Daphnia pulex: one gene and its partner. The protein of the gene in region 1 binds, or shares a complex with, the protein of each later gene. Links are inferred from orthologs where the notes say so. Each region holds a gene or a part of one and is shown on either strand. Other genes may lie near its edges. The genes, in order: CCR4-NOT transcription complex subunit 9-like and CCR4-NOT transcription complex subunit 11-like.

What was found.
Region 2: CCR4-NOT transcription complex subunit 9-like (region 1) and CCR4-NOT transcription complex subunit 11-like share a complex: the UniProt entries of both Homo sapiens proteins name them as parts of the CCR4-NOT complex. The link is inferred for Daphnia pulex from reciprocal best matches to the Homo sapiens genes CNOT9 and CNOT11.

Annotation. Positions count from the first base shown.
Region 1 is NC_060018.1:7,201,864-7,205,390, reverse strand, and holds CCR4-NOT transcription complex subunit 9-like, read right to left. Parts: upstream 2,181-3,527; 5' UTR 2,100-2,180; coding exon 1,984-2,099; intron 1,732-1,983; coding exon 1,129-1,731; intron 1,063-1,128; coding exon 882-1,062; 3' UTR 785-881; downstream 1-784. Other genes in the region: brahma-associated protein of 60 kDa-like, read right to left, coding at 1-4. UniProt on the Homo sapiens protein: Component of the CCR4-NOT complex which is one of the major cellular mRNA deadenylases and is linked to various cellular processes including bulk mRNA degradation, miRNA-mediated repression, translational repression during translational initiation and general transcription regulation.
Region 2 is NC_060019.1:7,971,410-7,975,470, reverse strand, and holds CCR4-NOT transcription complex subunit 11-like, read left to right. Parts: upstream 1-1,496; 5' UTR 1,497-1,564; coding exon 1,565-1,605; intron 1,606-1,676; coding exon 1,677-1,765; intron 1,766-1,829; coding exon 1,830-1,978; intron 1,979-2,041; coding exon 2,042-2,152; intron 2,153-2,210; coding exon 2,211-2,723; intron 2,724-2,786; coding exon 2,787-3,092; intron 3,093-3,165; coding exon 3,166-3,387; 3' UTR 3,388-3,528; downstream 3,529-4,061. Other genes in the region: titin-like, read right to left, coding at 107-272. UniProt on the Homo sapiens protein: Component of the CCR4-NOT complex which is one of the major cellular mRNA deadenylases and is linked to various cellular processes including bulk mRNA degradation, miRNA-mediated repression, translational repression during translational initiation and general transcription regulation.

The DNA of each region.
Region 1 (3,527 bases):
GCATTTTATAAAACCGTCAAAACGGCGATCGACACAATACACACCAAAAATTAAGATATACTTTTTCTTCGATTATTTACTTATTTAATTCTTAGTGTTCTTTTGCTTTTTTACGGATGAGATGAACGGTCGAACCTGCCGTTTGAAGCTTTGATTCGCCATCTGTTGACCGCGTCTATAAACCTCCCTCAACACCACGTAGCGGCCAAAAAGCATACAATTCAAGGTTTTTTTGTTTCTATAAAATGTACAAAAATTCAGCTTGGAATCTCTTGGAATGTTCAGAGGGTGCGGGTTGCGCGAACGAACTTGATATTATTTATTTTCCATTCCCATTATTCATTAATTTTCAGACCTAATTTCTTATTTTACGGTAGTGCACTCAGATAATATTCGATTATTTGCAAAAATACAAAATAGTAAGTAATTTTTCAATACTTGGACCAATTAAAAATCTAAGACTTAAAAGTTAGGACCAAAAGCAATCGTGGCAGTTAACAAAAACATTTTTATCGTCACAAAATATATTGCAACAGAGATAGATAGCTTGAACCGTCTTGACACTACACCCGTGGCCCCGTGCTACATCTTTCGCCTTGTCTTTCGCGTTAGTAAATTGAACCTAATTTTTACATAACACTTCAAATTTATATTGCGTATTGATACTGAACAAAAATGAAATCACCGTTTCGTGTATCCTCAAATGAACATCTTATAAGTAAATTTAACATTCTCTGAAACACGTGTTTATAATTTATATAATAAGTCAGCAGAAACCGCAAAATTAGTTGCAATAAAAAACAATACAGCAAGTTTGTATTATAATTCTGATCGATTTTTCGCTGAAGACAAGACAAGAGCATTCATTCTTTTTTAACATTTCATGGTTGAGTCATTGAGGGCAAACCGGTGATTCGGGGATCTACCATTCCATTAGTAGTTTCCAAATTTTTTAGAAGTTGCGCCATCCACTGTTTAGTTGACTTATCATCTTTAAGACATGTTGAGAAAGTGCTATCACGCAACTGATCAGGTAGGCATTGTCGCAACGCTTCACGAGCCCTAGAAAATATAGTCGAATTTTATATCAATACGAAAATTCCTTTTTGGTTTTTGCAAGTCCCTTACCTTGGATTGTCAGAAAGACGAAGATAACATCGGACAACGTGCTTCAAAAGACGAGCTGACTGTTCTTTGGCCAATGATAAAACCATTTTACCAAGTATCATTGCAACATGAGAAAAGCGCTCATAAGTTTGACAAATGTAAGCCAGACCAGTTTCATCCAAGAGAATTTTTTGAAGTATGAAAGTTGCAACAGTCTTGGACAGTTCAGATCCAGTTTCCATTATCCTCAAACACAATGGAATTATCTCTGTTGTAAGAAGAAAGTTGATAACCTCCTGTTCATCAGTTTTAACTAGAGCACCAATGACTCCCAAACTGGTCAAACGAAGATATTCAAATGGCCGTGTCTTGCTCACAGTGTGCAAAAAAGGGTAGAGGAATAATGGGATGTGAGCTTGCAGAAAAGCAGATCTGGTTTCTTGGTGTGAAGCAACACATTGCAGAAGAGCAAGAGCATTGCAAACTCTGTTGGACTGTTGAGCAGTAAGAGTAGGTGGACTTACTGCTGGATAAATGCTTACAATATCTTGCAATAGAGCTGCTATAGTTCCAAATGAATGCCACAGCATAGGAGCCAAATCAGGAACAACTTCTCTCTTTTTACTGCATGGAAGAAATGAAAAATTAATAAAAAGCTAGTGGAAGACATCATGTCTCTAATGTTTGAAACAATCGACAAACATTTGAAAATGGAACCTTATCCCTAACAAGACAACACACTTGTTGCTGGTAGTTGGAATGTAAAAATGGCAAATGCTTTTTCAATAAAGCCGAATCCACAACAACAAGCCGGGACCTTTTGCTTCGATAAAGTGAAACAAATCCTAATCGCTTAGAAAAATTCGTATATTATACCTTAATTCAAAAAGAGCACTTTCACGAGTTTCAGGATTTGTTAATTCTGTAATCCATAGATAAATTTTTTCTCGGTCAACAGATTGCAAGTTGGATGTCACCAAAGAAGTCGCCATTTTTGAGTGGTTTTTTATTTTTTTATTGCTTATCCCAAACAAGGTCTACTTGATGTATGGCCATGAAGTGGTGTGGCCGAAATTCCTTTATGGAGGGAGGGATCAGGGAGGTGAATCATCGAGGTGCTAGTACCAGCATCTAGTGGTGCTTTCAAACATTGTTTCATAAGAAAAAAACCACTAAAAAACAAAGACAAACGCGCAGGTCGCAGGTAAGATTTAACAAGCGATCCACGAATCAAGTAGACCAAAATCCCGGAGCGGCTTTCCTGATCTAAATCCGGAAAAGGCATTAAAAATCTTAAAAAAATATAGCCATGTTCGTCTTCGCACGCCGGATTTACCTGCGTTTGCAGAATGACGATTTTCCTCCCCGTTTAGGAGTTATTTAGCTCTAAAGTTTGGTTTTTTTGAATTTTGTCAGAAAGTGGGGGGGCTTTGACATCCATTTTCGAAAAAGTGGGGGAGCTAGGGAAAAAACTAATTTTTTGAAAAGGTTTATTGCAATCTCAACCACCAAAATCCAAAAGGAATTTCCTTTCCGGATTTTATTGGTTGAGATATTACCAATTTAGTGAAAGGATTATTTAGCTGGTTTCCCTCCCTGGCTTGCAGCCATTTTTTCGTACGGTCCGCTGCGCTCCTGGCGGAAGCCAGCAGAAGGTCTTATATATCGGCCTTCACATTAGACCCATTGCATTTATACAGGCCTTCATATATAGTGAACCCAGATTTCTTATTGGCCGATGTATAAGACCTTCTGCTGGCTTCCGCCAGGAGCGCAGCGGACCGTACGAAAAAATGGTTGCAAGCCAGGGAGGGAAACCAGCTAAATAATCCTTTCACTAAATTGGTAATATCTCAACCAATAAAATCCGGAAAGGAAATTCCTTTTGGATTTTGGTGGTTGAGATTGCAATAAACCTTTTCAAAAAATTAGTTTTTTCCCTAGCTCCCCCACTTTTTCGAAAATGGATGTCAAAGCCCCCCCACTTTCTGACAAAATTCAATAAAACCAAACTTTAGACCTAAATAACTCCTAAACGGGGGGGAAAATCGTCATTCTGCAAACGCAGGTAAATCCGGCGTGCGAAGACGAACGTGGCTATATTTTTTTTAGATTTTTAATGCCTTTTCCGGATTTAGATCAGGAAAGCCGCTCCGGGATTTTGGTCTACTTGATTCGTGGATCGCTTGTTAAAATGAGGTGAGTAGCTTTCAATCAAGATATTTTCGTATAACCTCTTTTTTCCATCTTTAAAGTAGCGTATAGAAAATCTAATAAAAAATTTCGATGTCTGTCCAGGCTGTCTCCTAACGAACTCCCCGTCCGGCCGATATTGCCATGAAACTTCAGAGATATTCAGAGATGTTCGTCGGATTCTGAGGAAGACTTTAAGTTACTGAAATTCAAAATAACTTTATTTG
Region 2 (4,061 bases), on another chromosome or scaffold:
CGATGTTACTTCCGGACTTTTGATTGCAGTGCATCAATCTTAATTAAACGTGGTGGAAGAGAATAGATATATGTATAATACAAAGGCTAAAAAGATCGATACATACCTGACGGATCACGCTCTTTGATTATAGGAGGTTGCTGCTCTATAGTTGTCGGTGCCACAGGACCCTGGAACATGGGGTAGAAGATTTTTGGCCAAAGGATGGCGAAACAGCCGATCACAATGGCCAAAACCACTAGCGTTTTGCCTTTCGAGAACTCCGGCGCCATTTTTTCTTAGACTCTGTCACTCTCTCTCTTTCTCCCACACGGAAGCTACTGAGAGCGGTTAGTAGAGAGGGGACAGAATAATGATTATACGGCAGGAGCGTTTGTGCTTCGTAGAGATTTCTTCGCCCTTTTTTGTATCCAGCAGTTGTGGCATCGATCAACGCGACTGATCCTCGGAGAGAACTGCGCACGACTATATTCAAGCGGGGGAAGCGGCAGCTCTCAGTTTCCCTCTTGGTACCGGAGGGCGGATCCATCCGCGTCGACGCAGAACACGTTTGCTCAACTCTCTCAAGTATATAAATATCACGTTCCCCTTTCTCTGTACTCTTCCTGCTCCCGTTCTTCGCAATGTTGGTTTCCTTTCAAAGAAATTAAGAATGATAAATAAATTAGTATTCACCAGTAAGCTTGGTTTCAGTATCTCTTGTAATTTACCTGAGTTGGAACACTAGTCAATATTGAATTATCATTGATCTGTTGGTTTTGTTGGTTTGTTTCTTCCTTTCGATGGCTTCAACCAATTTCCATTGTATTGCAACGTCGCTTCGACTCTAGGATAGTGCGACTTTCAAAATAAGAACAAGAAGTAACATATTATTATAAAAATATTAAAAGATTTCCTTACTAAAATTATGCAACTTCTAACTAGTGAAATATCTACGTGCGTGTCATTATTTTAATCTTTTGATTACATTTTAAGCAGAAAAAAGTAGGTTGAAAAACCGATAAAATCATGTAAATATCTGGAGGAGCGGGAGGAGCCAGTCGAATTCTGTACAAGGTGAATTGGACGAGAACTAGAAGCATACTAGAAGACTAGGAAGTCTTTCATTGAACACAGTACAAGATATTCAAGTGATATTATAAACTTATCTCTACATGACCACAAACAGTAACATTGAACATTTTGAACTATTGCTGATAAACGCTTTCTTACCATCCTGTGCATGTGTTTTTTCACTGTAGTCGGAACTCTCAGGCATTTCAGCAGGACCGATTTCCCCGTGTGTGAGATTTTCATTTTTTGGTTTCAGTTGTTTCACGCCTGGTTTTCGTCTGCTTGCTTGCTGTTCTTCTTGCCACAAAATCAAAATAAGTAAACACTAAAAATAAATAATTAAATACATTTAGACGCTAACAGCAAAACGAGCAAATTCATAAATGAATGGAGTCCAATAAAAAAGCGCAAAAATTGTAAATAACGGGCAAATTACCCGCTTTGTGTTATCATTTTGGCTTGGCAACCTTGCATTCATTCAATGAAAATAATTAAATAACAAATAAAGAAAATGTCGGCATTGTCTGTCAAGGATTTGAATCAATTGCTTACGTAATTATACTTTAAGAATAACATATTTATTCGTTTTAATGGTCTAGGTATCTAATGTCTTAATTTTGAAGTATCTTAGATGCCGAGAATGTCGCTAACCAGAGTGTCGAAGCCTTGGCTTCTCAGTTGGGGGTCTTTAATAAACAAGAATACTTTAAAGGTATTATAAAAACCACTCGATTTTAGAAAAAAAATACGTTAACTAACAATTGAAAATCAAATAGTTGGAAATGCATTAGTTATGCTACTTCAGAATGCTGATCTGCTTCCTTCACCATCACAACGTCTGGCTGCAGTGTTATTGCTACATGAGCTTTTCAAACCAGATGCTCAGAATTTCCATCCATTCTCCTCAATTTTTGTGCAACTTCTTGTAAGTAAATATTATGTTGTTGTACATTCACTAGTAAAGTTATATTTTAAAAATCATTTTAAGGCTGATGAACCTCTACAAACCAAGAGACCAGATTCATATAGACTACTACCGAAACTCAGTCCTCCAGAAAAGATTTATTTATCTCATCTCATTACTAATCCTCAAAAAGAAGTATGAAGTGTTTTAAAATGTCATAGATTTTATTTGCTTAATTGAACTGCTATTGCAGATGTACAAAAAAACTCTCCGACAAATATTGAATTTTGACTCTACCAATTCAATGGCTGATATTTCAGCCCTTCAAATAAGTGTGACAGAGCGCCTTTCAGAGTACACTTTAGCAAGCAAAAGCAGAATACCTGCTGTTCTTTCAATGCCTGATGTTCGTCCCGGCTTTGACCCTATACTTCCGGATAGTAGTGCAATCAAGAAGACAGCAGAAGCTCTAATTACTGGTCCCAACGCCGCTATACAAGAATCTGTGGGTCCCGAGTTTGTGAGGTTAGCTCCTCCTCTATTTTGTCCGGACGAACTCGTCTGGATCGATCCAATTGGGGAAGTCGACCACATGATTGCTTACGACACTACAGTTTGCATACCTAGAGGTGCCGGCTCGGAAGCTCGGCGATTAATTTCGCAAGCTTTCACCGGTTCTTTGACTTTGCTACAACAAAACAGATTGCTAAGCGAATTAGAGCGCGATTCTCGTCTAGTCTATCACGTAGGAATCACTCCTAACAAAGTAAGCTATTTTGATTGTTGGTTTTGCATTTTCGCATTTGAATAATGCTTATTTTCGACGCAGCTACCTGCCTTGGTAGAAAACAATCCACTCATCGCAATCGAGGTGCTACTTCGACTGATGCAGTCTTCCCAAATAACGGAATATCTGAGCGTGCTGGTTAATATGGAAATGTCTCTGCATTCGATGGAAGTAGTCAACCGATTAACGACGGCTGTTGAGTTGCCAACTGAATTTGTCCATCTGTACATTTCCAACTGCATATCAACGTGCGAAACTATCAAAGATCGTTACATGCAGAATCGTTTAGTCCGACTTGTGTGCGTCTTCTTGCAGTCCCTCATTCGCAATAAGATTATCAACGTCCAAGTAAAGAACAAATCATGTCGTGTTAAGTTTGTAACGTTTCTTTACAAAATGTCTAATTTTTCATCTTCTTAAGGAGCTGTTTATCGAAGTGCAGGCATTCTGTATAGGTTTCAGTCGAATTCGCGAAGCTGCTGCCTTGTTTCGTCTCCTCAAACAACTCGACAGCGGTGATCAGAGTGGACTCAACAGCACTTCATCCATCGCATCCTTTCCTGGGCTGTCCTCACTCTCGACATCTTCCTTCAATCCTCAGGCATCACCTCTGGCATCAACTGCCAAAGGCAAAGGCGAATGAAAGTCGTTATTATTATTGTTGGATGTTGCATCGTATGTTCGCGTCTCAACTATTGAAACAACAGGCTTATTGATACAGTATATGCTATGGGAATCGAGGGTGAAGAGTTTTGAATATGATATATACAATTCACGAATTGTTTGCTCTTTGATCGTTTGAACCTTTCTAGAAAAAATTAGAGTGTGTACAAATTCGTCGTAAGAAGTTAAGGGTGGGTAAGGTTTTCGGTTTTAATTTTAGTTTTAAGCAGAGAATAATAACGGGAGTTAAATTAGGACACAATAAAAACCAACGAAGTGCAAATCTAGTTCATCATGTCAACTTCAAGATTATCGCTTCTTGTAACATTATTATGCATTTTGCCATTTTCCCCTAACGTGTGGTCGATTGCACAAAATCATGAAAAACAGATAATGAAAGCTACAAAGTACAAAGGGATGTACTACCTGAGCTAATGAGTGAATGTGAGTAGGAGATCGCTGATGAAAATTGAGGTCAATGATGAAATTGTAAGTTTCGAAAGTTATAGGTTGACAAATGAAAATCTAGCTGGCAATCGGTGAAAAAGTTGCCTCTACAAAAAATGTTAAGCAACTCATTTGGAGATCGGATGGATCGATCGTTTATCAAAATTTCAGCATTCACTTGTTTACTGACTCTGATTTACAAAACCA